3 linked regions of the Arabidopsis thaliana genome follow. The protein of the gene in region 1 interacts with the protein of each later gene in a pairwise test. Each region holds a gene or a part of one and is shown on either strand. Other genes may lie near its edges.

Region 1 (4,261 bases):
GCCAAAATACAAGCATCACATATATATTCATAAATTCATAAAAGGTTAAAAGTAATCATACAAAATGATGTAAAAAGTTTCATGCCTTGAACAAAACACTGCGCCAAAGGCAAATCCTAAGAAACATGTCAGATTCCTGTGTGCATCTGTTCTGCTGCTGCTGTTGTTTTCTCTCAAGAGGGTTTCCTCAGAACTCCATAAGCCAAACGTGCAGAGAGACGTTTCCTCATTTCCCCATCATATACAATATCATATATTGTTAAAAAATATATTCACATCTCTCTGCTGCCTTGTCAATCTCCCCAGGTCCGGTCTAGGCAGTACAAGACAGGATCAATGGCAACAAGTTACGGTGTTTCGTGGAACTCCATCACCTGCAAATGAGACGAATTCACAGCAGAGAAAAAAATATTCTTTAGTCAACATGAATGAGAAATAATTCAAATGTTCTGAGTTTCAGGAAGAATGATTAGCCATATTTGTCATAGACAAGACAAGTAAAGATTTTACGCATGTGCTTCTAGGGTTGTTGTACATCTTTCATTCTATTGATCTCTGGATCACTCGTCTATTTACGCGTGATGGTGTCTGAGTCTGACTCTGAAACACTAGTAAATGAGAAGCCGAAAACTGGCTTGGAAGAACATGAAAAGTGTTTACCTTTCCACAAACAGGGCAGTTTTCACTTCTCTCCATCCATTCATAAATGCAACTGAGGTGGAAATGGTGAGAACACTTTGTAACAATCTTCGGGTTCTCTGATATGTATTCTACAAAACACACGAAATAATCTGATACTAAGCTTCTTTGAAATGCATTGATCCAAGAAAAAGAAAAAAAAAGATGAAAATGAATACCTTCAAGACACGTTGGACAGACATCTTCATCATCAGATGTTATATACAGGCCTTCGTTACTAGTAGACATTGTCCTTGACTGAAGAATCCTCCGAGAGGATCTAGAGAACTCTTCTTTGGAATCTTCACCAGAGATAATAAGCTTGTTAGCCCATTTGCTTCCTTCCACTGAGAAAGACTCAGAATCCACATCAGCATCACTTCTTAAGGGCTCAGCTTCCTCATGAGAATGACTTGAACCCTTATCGCGTCTAGAAACAAGCGAATCACGCCTTGACCGGAAGTATCTTGGATCAGCGTCATAAGGCAGAGGCCTTGGAGTAGAATGGAATGTATTAGACATAAAGTTATCATACGAAGTTGATGTAGCTATCGATACATTAGTAGCCTGTAAGGAGGATGGGAGAGAGCGGGTTTCGCCTCTTCTGAATAAAGAGATATACTGCAGAAGAGATCAAATCCGAAGCTTCAATGAACTCTCCTTTATTTCATATAAGTAGCAGGTGAAAAGTAAAAACTGCAAAAAGAGCATTACCAGGTTAAGGAAGTTGTTAACAAGACATCTCGGGCATGGGCAGCTTCTGTTAACAGAACTACTTGGATTGGGGTAATCCTCAAAGTCATCGACCCCAAAGCAAGAAGAAACACAGCCCATCTCCTTCTCTTCTTTCTTGAAATGTTAGTTCCAATATGTTTTATAAGTCAAGAACTTGGAGGCAAATTGCTTTGAAACTTCTAGGAAACTCCTTTAACCTTCACTAACAATGCCAAATCCGAGGCGTCTATTTACAGAAACTCTCCAAACATTTCACCAACAATCAGCTTCTCTCGTTGATTCATTCTCTCAAATTTCACCTGTAGAATGATCTGATCACTGTTTGGACTGTAGTTTTTTAAGGGAGTTTTAAACCTCTTCAATTACTATCCAAAACTCATCACAACCCCCAAAACAATCCATTATATTATGAAAATAGTAAAAAACTAAAGATTTATTGCCAGCATTGACAGTAAGTAACTTTAAAGCAGAGAGATTCCCAACAAGAGACATCAAACAAACATTCACCAAACTCAGTACAAAATTGTGTTTGGTCAAAAAGAAAACTCGAGGCTTCAATTGGGGATATACAAAAAAGGGCAAAAGTGGTCAAAGTGAAATGCAAGCAACTAACCGATTAAAAGTTGAAACCTAATTTAGGTAGATAATCCCTAACAAACGCAATAAAACAGAGAAACTTATAATAAAAAAAATAACCCACTTGATATCATTACACAACAAAACCACAAGTTGCTTTGCTTAACTCAGAATAATTGTTTTAAAACAGAACACAAAAAAAGCAGAGAAAATTTACCAGAAAACAAAGAACAACACTTTGGGATTGTACTAATCAGAATCGATCAAACCCCATTATCCAATTACAGAAGAAATAACGAAGACTATACCTTTTGGCGAGGAACTCAATGGGTTTTCAATTTTGATCGGACTCGACCGAAGAAAGAGAGAGAGACTGAGACAAAGAACGAAATTTCATTTAGAAAGAAAGAAAAGGAAGTTGAATTGCTTTATTTGCAGATTCTCAGGAAAGTGAAGTTGGAGGAATATTTTCCCTCACTTTATTTCCAAGTCGTCAGCGAGAAGAGAGATTGAAGGAAAAAGTGAAGGAGGAGGAGTAGTGTGTTCAAGTTGGTGTGAAAGTGGGTGGGCGTTGTTGCTGGACGCTAATGGAGGACTCTCTCTATACAATTTAAACCAAACTTTTTTGGTTGATTCTCTTATTTTATACTAGTTGATAAAATTATTTTAGTTAATCAGACATTACATATTTTAATGATTTTGTAGATGATGACATTAGGATAGGAAGATTTTATTTTAGAAAAATAATACATTAGAGATTTGCTATTCAAAAGTAACAAAAGCAAAAATTTGGGATGGAATTTTTCCCTTGTTTTTTATTTTGGTATTATCGTAAACAGATACTTAATGTTTAACGCATTATATTAATATAAAATTTTATAATCGCAGATTATGTATAACTTTTATAACTGAAATAAAAGTACATTTAATAAATTAGATATCTACACATAAAATAACATTGCATGACGAAATGTTACACGTATTAAAATTGTTAAATGACAAAAATTAAACAGCTTATATTATGAAACAGAGTGACTATATGCCAAAATGCATGGCAATAATTAAATCACAAAAGTAAATTTGTCCGTTTTAACCTATTGTTCATTGGACAAAAAGAATTTTATAAAACATTTTTTTAAATTATCATCTTGTTCACATCCATTGAGTCATATATAGCGCTACTAATTACTAATCTTAGTTCTATCATCTATGTCTCAAATTTGACAATTTACTAAATTTGAATTCAACCAAACTAATTTATGAAACTAAATTTATGAAATTACTGCAAAAAAAAATCATCTATCATCTAGTTATTTAATATATCGAAAATATTTAGTTAATTTTCTGTTTTTATATAGTCAAAATAATCTTCTACACCCACAATTAATCCATCAAGAAGTTAAAAGACCAATTGTTAGTGGACAATAAAGAGTCGGGCTTTTTATGTCACTTAGCCCATATCAAGGAATGGGAACAACCAAGTTGTAAACTACAGTTTGGGTTAATTTGATCTTGGCCCATTTTATTATTTAGTCCTATATTATCTAGAAATTAATGATTTTTAGTTTACAATGTTTTCATATTTTTTCAATATTTTTTATAAAGTTACAATATTCCCTAGTCTATCTATAATCCACCATAGTGTTTGTTTGTTGTTTTTTATGTCGTCGACTAATAGAATTTGTTTATTCTCATGAAATGGTATTTTTTTTAGCACATACGGCGTTCCTGATTAAAAAAAAACACAAAAATCAAAAGTTAAAATATGAAAATTCGAGAAGAACATTCAGAGTCTTTAATACCATTAAAAAACATTCACATTCTTTAACTCATTTTATTTAATTTTTTGTCCCTTATCAAGAATGAGTATGTATGTAGTACTCTATAAGAAGACAGAAGTAAGAATTGGGTATATATGATTGTGTGGACATCCTTAGTGTCTCGTGAATCGACAGAGACTCTCCAACTGTATTCCCTTCCCCATTCTCATTCCCATAAGCCTTCACTTTCTTAAATTGCATGTATTGTTTCCTCTGTTAAAGAAAATAGAAACTATAACTTACTTAAGTCTAGTTATCAACTTTAGCCTCACTGGCTATATGTTTCTCCAAATCTATAAACAAATGTATAATAAGCAATGTATAAGTTTCTTAGAACAATTATATTGCGAATTAATGAATCTCTGTAACCTCTTCTTACATCTAGTTTGGATTACCGATTAGAAATATGTAAATCCGTCCATGATAGACTGTTACTGATATTAGTTAACTAT
Region 2 (3,930 bases), on another chromosome or scaffold:
TGAAACATAAATTAATTGAGCTTCTGAGCAATGTGTAAATGTGTTATAGGTTTAATTACGTTCAACCACTTTTTTCATTTATTTAATAAGTTGATTTTCCAAGACCACTCGTAATCAACTTTCATGGAGTCCGTTTATGGTTAAGACCACTCGTAATCAACTTACAAGCAAGTTAAACAGTGTCCTAAAAGTAGAAGTCTACATGTCGAAGAATGATTGTTTCTATGTCAAGAACGACGACGCGGAACATCAAGAAGTACATGCAAATCGACGTGCATCATCATCAATAAGAAGTGTGCTAATTGTAGAAAAAAGTAACACTTAGTTTTCAAAGGTTCTATTAATCACCGTAAGCATTGGCTTTAGATGAATCACAGAAACAAAAATAAGGGTTACGAAGCTGTTCATGGCTTCTTTTTCCATTAGTTCGGATTACAAAGATTCATGATTTTTTATGATACTTTCTTGTTTTAACCTTGGTGTATTACATAACAAATAACCAATTAAATATAGCAGATTTCATTTATATATAAAAAAAGGGCTGACACAAAATGTTAAATTCAAAAGATTGAACACATGGAGTGAGGAAGAGAAGCTGTTTTTGATATTTGCACACAATGATAAAACTTCAGATGATCAATCGGACAACATCATCATCATCACCATACCATCCACACAGACCATTTTTTGATGAATTAAAAAAAAAAAAGCGTTGAGAACGACAATGGAGGACCCCCAGATACATACTTTGGTATTAGAAGGGGCAATGATTTTCTAGCAAACCAGAAGAAGATTCCAGAAGTAACTAGAAGCAAGTACCTTCCGGAGGTTGAACAAGCTTACGGTTATGCGACGTAGACATTTCCTTCTTCAACTGTACCAGTATATCCTCCATTGTGTACTCTCTTTGCCAGTTTGCAAGTAGCCCAAATTTCTTAGGATCCACCTATACACATACGCATAAAAAAATTACAGAGCATCCAAAGAAACAAAACAGAGAAAGGAAGGGCGGTGGTGAGTTTATACGTACCACTCCTGTTTCGTGGTTGACACAAGCCATGTTGACACGTGAATGGAATCGGACAGTTGGAGGTTTCTCCGGGTAATCTTTGTCACAAAAGAGCTTCAACTGATAGATTCTACCTTCATGAACAGTCTGTGACATAAAATTTATCTCTGTTACTACAAGCAAAAGCAACAATGGCATAATCTGCTCAAATAAAGCTTAAGAGATTGTATGTCGATAAGATCAATGCCTAGAAAACAATGTGGTTTTGATGTTCTGTATTCCAAGCAATGAGATGCAAATAATATTAATCTATGCTTCTCAAAACAATTGTTAACATATATGAAGACGAAGGAGAATGTTAGCAGATAAAGAAAAAGATATAACTACGTTGTGAGGACCGATGATGGTGCCAGTCCAAGAACGCATATAGATGTCATCTCCATCATCCATTCCATAGCTCACAGTTCCATCCCCAATACCTTTCTCCCCACGTTCAAGCTCCTCCAACAACCGAAAATTCCTCGGAACTATATTGCAATAACAAGCGTAACAAAAACAATTCATATCAGTAAATGAAAACAAGCAATCACTTTTTTTAATCAAAGCAGAGAACAGAACATATCATATTAATCATTATCCACAAAGACTAAAATAAGATAACACTCAACAAAGTTAACAATGAGCTATAGAGAAGATGAAAACATTCCTAGCTAAGGTCTTAGAAACAATAAGAAACTCAGGAATAGCATTTTAAACCCATCTCAGGAATTGAGACATCAGCAAATCATTCTCAGCGATTTGTTAAAATTGATTGATTCAGATCAAGCTATATGCGAACAATTTAGACAAAGCTACAATTTTTTATACTAGATCGATAGAACCTATGAGAAATCTCAACACCTATTGATCAAAACGAATAAAACCAAAAGAAGAATTCACCAAAACCCTAGAGAAAAAAAAACAAACGAGGGATTATTCCAAAACCCTAGAATCAAAATCAAAAAACGAGAACAAACCCGAAAGAATCGAAATTTTATACCAACAACGCTAGATCCTCCTGAGCCAAGAGTCATAATTGATGAAGTTGTGGTTTCGATATCCGATTGATTTTGAGATCTGACGAGCAGAGAAGAGAGACGAGAAGAAGTAAAGGGAGAATCGAATAGAGAGAATCTGGTGAATAGACAGAAAGCTAAAATGGGAGGGTCAAATTTGGCAAATCGGGTACTTTTGGGGAGACTGGAAAAAGTTATTTTTTTCAAATTTACCGCCCAAATTTGTTTTTCTATCATATAATTCCTTAAATTATGATAACTACAGAAACACCCCTTTTATTTTCGAGTTTTGACAACATCTATTTGTTATTATTTTAACTAGCAATGCAAAATTTCTATATACATGAAAATTATTGAAATATTAAAACTCGCTTGATTTGCAACTAAATTATCGTAAAATGTAAATTTCTTTTTCAAAAATCATGTTAAAACTTTAGGATAAAATGTTGTCACGTATATATGTCGTCGCATGTGCCTTAATATATATGAAAAACAGAAATTAATTATTTATTAGATTTTTGAAAATTTAGTACTTATAAATAGAAAAATGTCATAAAATACATTAAAACAAATTTTAGTTGCTACTTTTTCACTAAATTTAGGTTTAAAAATATTTTCTTAAATAATTTAATATTTGAAGTTTGTAAAAGTTCTTAAATTTTATTGAATTTGATGGTGAATTGTTTTGAATAAATAACGTTTTAATTGATGAAGATACAACTTTTAACCTTAATTATTGAAAATTTCATCGGATTGAATGCCGATGAAACCAAAGCAATACCATTATTAGCATACTACCAATTTGATTCTTAAGACCCTAATTCGAGACGTGTCGATTTTTTTACTTGTGTTTAAATTTATATTTTGTAATTTTTAAAAATAAACTTTCTATTTTTTTTGGCGTTTTTCATTTACATTGAAAAACTATGTTTCTCTGGAGTATACAAATAAATAAATATAAACGCAAACGCCATAACTAGCGTTTGAAACAATCGAATTCAACTCCGATGAAAATCCATCCTCGTTCATGTCATTGGCTTCCATAGTACTAAAACATGAAAATGGACAACTTAACAAAATGAACCAAGAGGGACGGCCACAAACAGAAATGATCTGTCTGTCAATTTAACATATTAAAATAGAGATTATAATTTAAACAATATGATTTATATAGAGGACTTTACAAAGAAAATTAAATTCATCATCTCAAACTCAAAAGTCCAAATTGAATAATAACTTAAAACAAATTCTCTAAAAGAAGATCAAGTCGGTGCATTTGCACTTGGGGCAACGTTGACGTTCTTGTAAGACCATAACATACATCATACAACTTCGACATCCCATCACCACCATCTCCGGCGCCTCTTCTTCATCAACCCACGACGATGCAACCTCCTCCTTCACTTCCTCCGTCCTCGTCAGGCACGAGTTTTGTGATGATGATGTGTCGCTCGATGGTGATCTTCCTTCAAACCTCCCATTAGCAACCACCGACGCCACGGTCCTCGCCGAGGGCTCAACGCTACCTCTTTTACCATTCTTGTTTCTCATTTCGATACTTCGGTTTCGTCGAGAGGGTTTTTGTATTCTTGTATTTGTTTTTCTCTGTGTTTTTCTAGGGGATGGGTTGATGGTAATGACTTCTAAAGAAAATGTATGTATGTAATATATAAGGAAGAAGAGGAGCTAAAATATGACTAGGAATTAATATTTGTTGAATAAAGTAATTATGTTGTGGAGAGAGATATGACTTTGTTTATTTCGTAATAATTTTTTTAATTGGAGGTGGGAAAGTTAGTAAAAGTATAGTAGAGACAAATATATGAAACAAAAGACAATTCAGTAAACAATGCATTAGTGCATTTA
Region 3 (4,545 bases), on another chromosome or scaffold:
ATTGATCCATAATTATTTGTTGATGATGCAGTTTACTCTTCATAGAATCAGCGGATAGACCTGGACTATTAGTTGAGCTGGTGAAGATCATTTCAGATATCAGCGTCGCTGTTGAATCTGGAGAATTCGACACCGAGGTATCTAATAATCCTGTTTTTTAATGTCTAAAACATATACCCTCCGCTATAATATCGCTCTGTTTCTCATGTTGCTTCTTCTTGTTGTATGTGAAACAAAAAGGGTTTGTTGGCTAAGGTGAAGTTTCATGTAAGCTACAGGAACAAAGCCCTAATCAAGCCTCTCCAGCAGGTTAAAATTCTGAAATTAGACTTTTCTCTTTGATAAGTTGAAATGTTTTTACTGAAATGAAATCAAATTTTGTATTTGTAGGTCCTTGCTAATAGTCTGAGGTACTTCTTGAGGCGTCCATCAACTGACGAGTCAAGTTTCTGATTATGCCCATTTTTCAAAATCTCAAGTCTCATTCCTCGTGACTACTATTTTTACCACTTTTTTTTTTTTTTACATTTGACCAAAATAAGCTGCTTCATACACCTGTAATAGTAACATTATGCATCATTCATCCAATTTACTTTGATTCACAACCTGTGAAAATCTGATTATCTACACCACTTTATAAAGATTATTATAGAGCATATATAACAAAAACAAAGATCAAAAGCAAGCACAATTGAAGAAAGTTAGATTCCAGATATGGGTAAACGAGTCTTAGATCCCCCTAGTTATACAAATTCAGAGAGTACAAATCTTTTTCCTCTGTTTTCAGAAAAAGGATTCAGATAAAACCTTGAGATAGAGTTTCACCATATATAATGTTATTTAAATGACAATGATCTTTCTCCATTTGCAGTCTTCTTTAAGCACCACTTGCGTAAAGACGAGTCCATTCCTTAGCTGCATAAGTTCACATTGATATGAGATTACCAGATTAGAGAGGAGAGGAATAAAGTTTTTGTTGCAACTTTTTTGAGTTTTTCGATCGTATTTTATCACCTGTTTCCACAGCTTCTGCCTCATTGCTCTTCCAATGCTTAGCTATGTTCTCAGACAGAGGATCATCTGGGTTTGGTGCACTTAAAAGAGCTTGGATACTGTTTTTACACGGCAATGGAAAATCAGAAAGTGTGAATAATTAAATCTTAATTTCTACAATATTTTGGATTTAGTAGGGAAAGAAGATTCTATGGATATATTCATACCTCAAGAGCACAGTTCGTATTTGTAGTGCAGGACTCCACTTGTCTTTCAGTATGTCAAGGCAGATTCTTCCAAGCTATATATACATGATAAGTGCAAACAAAACATGATCCATAAGTATAAAAGACCATGTGTTTGGTTAGTTATCTTGACAGTAAGAGAAGAAAAGGAAATTTTTCACAACAGACCTTGTCGATGTTAGGATGGTAAATCTTGGTGAGAAACCTAACCTGTGTTTCAAATGATATCATCAATAAGACCCATAAACTCTACATCAATGAAGAAACTTGGATACGTTGTCTAATATAATATAAGAAAATACATTCGGAGTAGTCATAACAAAACCAAAATCACCAATCTCATAAACCCATAAATAAAATCCTAGTGTTAAGAGTAGAGAGACATTCACTTAAAGAGCATTTACCTCCACTTAACAATGTTATGTGGGGTAATCCTAATGTTACCAAAACAAGTGAAACATGAAATGAAAGAAGAAAAACACACAAAAGTTGAAGCAACTTACCTTGGGAGCTGCCATAGGATATTCTTCAGGCAAAAAGAGCTCCAACTTGAAAACTCCTCCTACAGATTGAGAAGGAAACAAAATTATTGGTAAACATCAATTAACAGAAATATGATGATAGATAAAACAGCAGACTTGATTCTGGAAATTCGACTTGGCATTGTGTATTCTAGAACAAATAAAATGTGTCGAAATGAACTCAAAGGTAGCTTAAAGACTCATCGTTATTCATAACACTACAATCCGAACATGAGCAATCTATGAGACCTAGTAGTACCTAAACGAACATATCCGTTTGTATAAACAAATATAGAGACAGAGCAGAGTCACTACTTGCAGCAGAAACGATAACGATAAATCGTTGAGCAGCATGCATTAAAGAAGAAAAAGGAAGAAGTAACGATGAGCATCTTTGGGAGATTAAAACAATTTGACTACCTTCATAAGGAGATTGAGTAGGACCAAGAATCATAACATTGAAATATCTCATATTTTCCTCTGATGGAGACGCACTTATCCCAGGAGCTGCAATTTCGAAAGATATACAACTTAGAATTAAAATCAATAGTTCCAGCTACCAAAACCAACTGTTTGAGCTAAAATCAACTGTGAGAAATCAACAAGGATCGAATGAAGTGATGAAATTACCAGGTTCACTAAGCAGACGTTGAGTTTCCTATCAGATCGAAGAACAAAAAAAAGTCAGATCAAGATGACGAAGATGATATAAGATCGTACAAGCTATCGAAAATTCTTCCCAGTTCTGCTGAGGTATATAATCCGTCGGTTCCTTCTTCGGATTTCAGATTAGAATTCCCCAAAATGAAACTGAGGGGAGATACGGATCGGAGGATGCTACAGAGGATCGGAAAACTAACCTTGATGATTCGTCGGGGAAGATTACTATTGGCCATTATCGCACGCTATCGGATTCGATCGTCACAGAGAAGTTAGGGTTTTTGAGAGAGAACGAAGCTACCAAAGGCTGATAATAATCGAGTACGCTTCGTCGTCTCTAGTTTCGTGCCCCTTTGATCCTTTTAATTCTTTCTTTTTTTCCTTTACGGAAATAAATTGATGCTTTTATGCTAGTAAAAATATATAATTACATGAAATATGTAAGGAATACATTTAGTAAATAATTTTCTGTAAGTTCTCTTCCATATTCATATTCAATTTTTTTAAGAATAATTTCCATATTCAAATACTTTTTTAACCATGATTGAAAACTACTAAGAAAATAATCTTTTCTTAGTTTTGTAAACGACATGCACTATTTATTAGTCTGGTGGTAACATAGTGACAACATTATTACAAACGTCAATATACCTACCATGATCTCGATGACTCGATCAAATTTTTAGAAAAATTAATACCTTGTTTAGGTTATTCTTTTCTTCAAAGATAATCTTTTACAATATATATACACAACTTTTTTAGTTCATTATCTTCAATTCTATTGCGTTCTTCTTCTGTACCTTTTTACGACGCGTTGGTCAAACGCTAACTTAAAGAGGACAGAAATATGAATTATGAAGTGCCCTCCATAGTCTTCTCATTTTCTCCCTTTTTCTCGATAGCCAAAATTGGAATCCGCAATATCAAAAGACAAAAAGAATATAGACTTTGCACAATAATGTCATAAACATAATCTTCCACGTTCTTCTGACCATTTGGAGATTTCTTACAAAGTTAAAACTAGTCTCTTTCACAACAACACAACTACGAACCGTGAACGTACCTGAACTTAAAGCCGATACTAATCAGTTATTAGTTATTACATTCTCCCAAAACTACCCAATGAACTGAGTTAAAGCTACAAGTCTAAGGAGTTTTAACGATTTGTGATCATTTTGGGACTCTTCTCAGTGCTACGTATTTGCCAAACACATTTTTCTCCTGCCACATGTGCGGGATGAAGAACGATCTATACTTAGCTGGCGACAGCTCTCTGTCCAAATAAGGCAACACCGCAATAGCCTGAAAAAAGGGTCAAAACAACCAATTGAAGAAGTGAAGTGAAATCAAAGATGGATTCTGTTTCAGGAAGATGGTTTGATTCCTATACCTCCCATGTAGATAAGTCGCTGCCTCGATACTGATACGGTCTGCTAAGCTGCAACTCAATGAGGAATGTACAAGTTTCGATGTTCTTTAACTGGAAAAAATGGAACGAGTAAACAAGCCATGATTAAGTTTATGTTTAGAGATATTTTGAAGGTTTCATGAGAGAAGAGTGTGTGAGTATTACATATTGTTCTTCGGATGCTTGGTTCTTGTTGTTGAAGTATGGAGGTGATGCTGAAGTGCCTCCAAGTGTATTGTTAAATGGGAATGGAAGAAGACCGCGGAATCCATCATCGATCCACCGTACTTCGCTAATGTAGTGGGGCACAAAAAACGATGATGGGTATCGATGCCATTCACTTCCCACACATAGAACAGAACCTGACATACAAAACCAACCAAGAAGTCATCAGTGATTAGAAAACTTTTGTCAAAAGGACTTTGTTACCCTTTTTCCAATGGCAAATTACTATTCTTGAAGTAAAAGTGAGATGTGATCTTCACTCGTCTTAGCATTATAATGATCAAGAAGTTCAGTTCGAATTGGATATACCTGGTCCTGCATCATCATGATGCTCCAGTAGTTTGTAGACCTCCAAGGGAGCGGAATAGCCATTAATAAGAGCAAATGTGCGAGAATGTGAAGCACATAAGATACAACCAAGAATCACAGGTCGCATGTATTTGGTTATCTGCGTATTAAACAGATATGTGAGAATCGTACAATCTACTTCTTT

Evidence for each region. Proteins that work in one complex are often made in the same cells at the same time.
Region 2: the proteins of AT5G15790 (region 1) and UEV1D-4 interact in a two-hybrid assay, tested with the Arabidopsis thaliana proteins (one large-scale study listed by BioGRID).
Region 3: the proteins of AT5G15790 (region 1) and UBC36 interact in a two-hybrid assay, tested with the Arabidopsis thaliana proteins (one large-scale study listed by BioGRID).

Annotation. Positions count from the first base shown.
Region 1 is NC_003076.8:5,147,051-5,151,311, reverse strand, and holds AT5G15790 (RING/U-box superfamily protein), read right to left. Parts: upstream 2,590-4,261; 5' UTR 2,298-2,589; exon of another isoform or gene 1,713-2,297; 5' UTR 1,513-1,712; coding exon 1,393-1,512; intron 1,300-1,392; coding exon 858-1,299; intron 771-857; coding exon 541-770; downstream 1-540.
Region 2 is NC_003074.8:19,493,873-19,497,802, forward strand, and holds UEV1D-4 (ubiquitin E2 variant 1D-4), read right to left. Parts: upstream 2,224-3,930; 5' UTR 2,083-2,223; coding exon 2,049-2,082; exon of another isoform or gene 2,026-2,048; intron 1,537-2,025; coding exon 1,397-1,536; coding exon of another isoform or gene 1,394-1,396; intron 1,211-1,393; coding exon 1,031-1,210; intron 947-1,030; coding exon 806-946; 3' UTR 505-805; downstream 1-504. Other genes in the region: AT3G52561 (uncharacterized protein), read right to left, coding at 3,316-3,615. UniProt on the Arabidopsis thaliana protein: Has no ubiquitin ligase activity on its own. The heterodimer with UBC catalyzes the synthesis of non-canonical poly-ubiquitin chains that are linked through 'Lys-63'. This type of poly-ubiquitination does not lead to protein degradation by the proteasome.
Region 3 is NC_003070.9:5,775,673-5,780,217, forward strand, and holds UBC36 (ubiquitin-conjugating enzyme 36), read right to left. Parts: upstream 2,813-4,545; 5' UTR 2,656-2,812; coding exon 2,620-2,655; exon of another isoform or gene 2,418-2,619; coding exon 2,363-2,417; intron 2,267-2,362; coding exon 2,180-2,266; intron 2,157-2,179; exon of another isoform or gene 1,801-2,156; coding exon 1,742-1,800; exon of another isoform or gene 1,449-1,741; coding exon 1,407-1,448; intron 1,295-1,406; coding exon 1,221-1,294; intron 1,113-1,220; coding exon 1,015-1,112; intron 916-1,014; coding exon 878-915; 3' UTR 505-877; downstream 1-504. Other genes in the region: ACR11 (uridylyltransferase-like protein), read left to right, coding at 32-137, 241-309, 391-453; EBS3 (Alg9-like mannosyltransferase family), read right to left, coding at 3,590-3,721, 3,810-3,899, 3,993-4,189, 4,362-4,500. UniProt on the Arabidopsis thaliana protein: Catalyzes the synthesis of non-canonical poly-ubiquitin chains that are linked through 'Lys-63'. This type of poly-ubiquitination does not lead to protein degradation by the proteasome. Mediates transcriptional activation of target genes.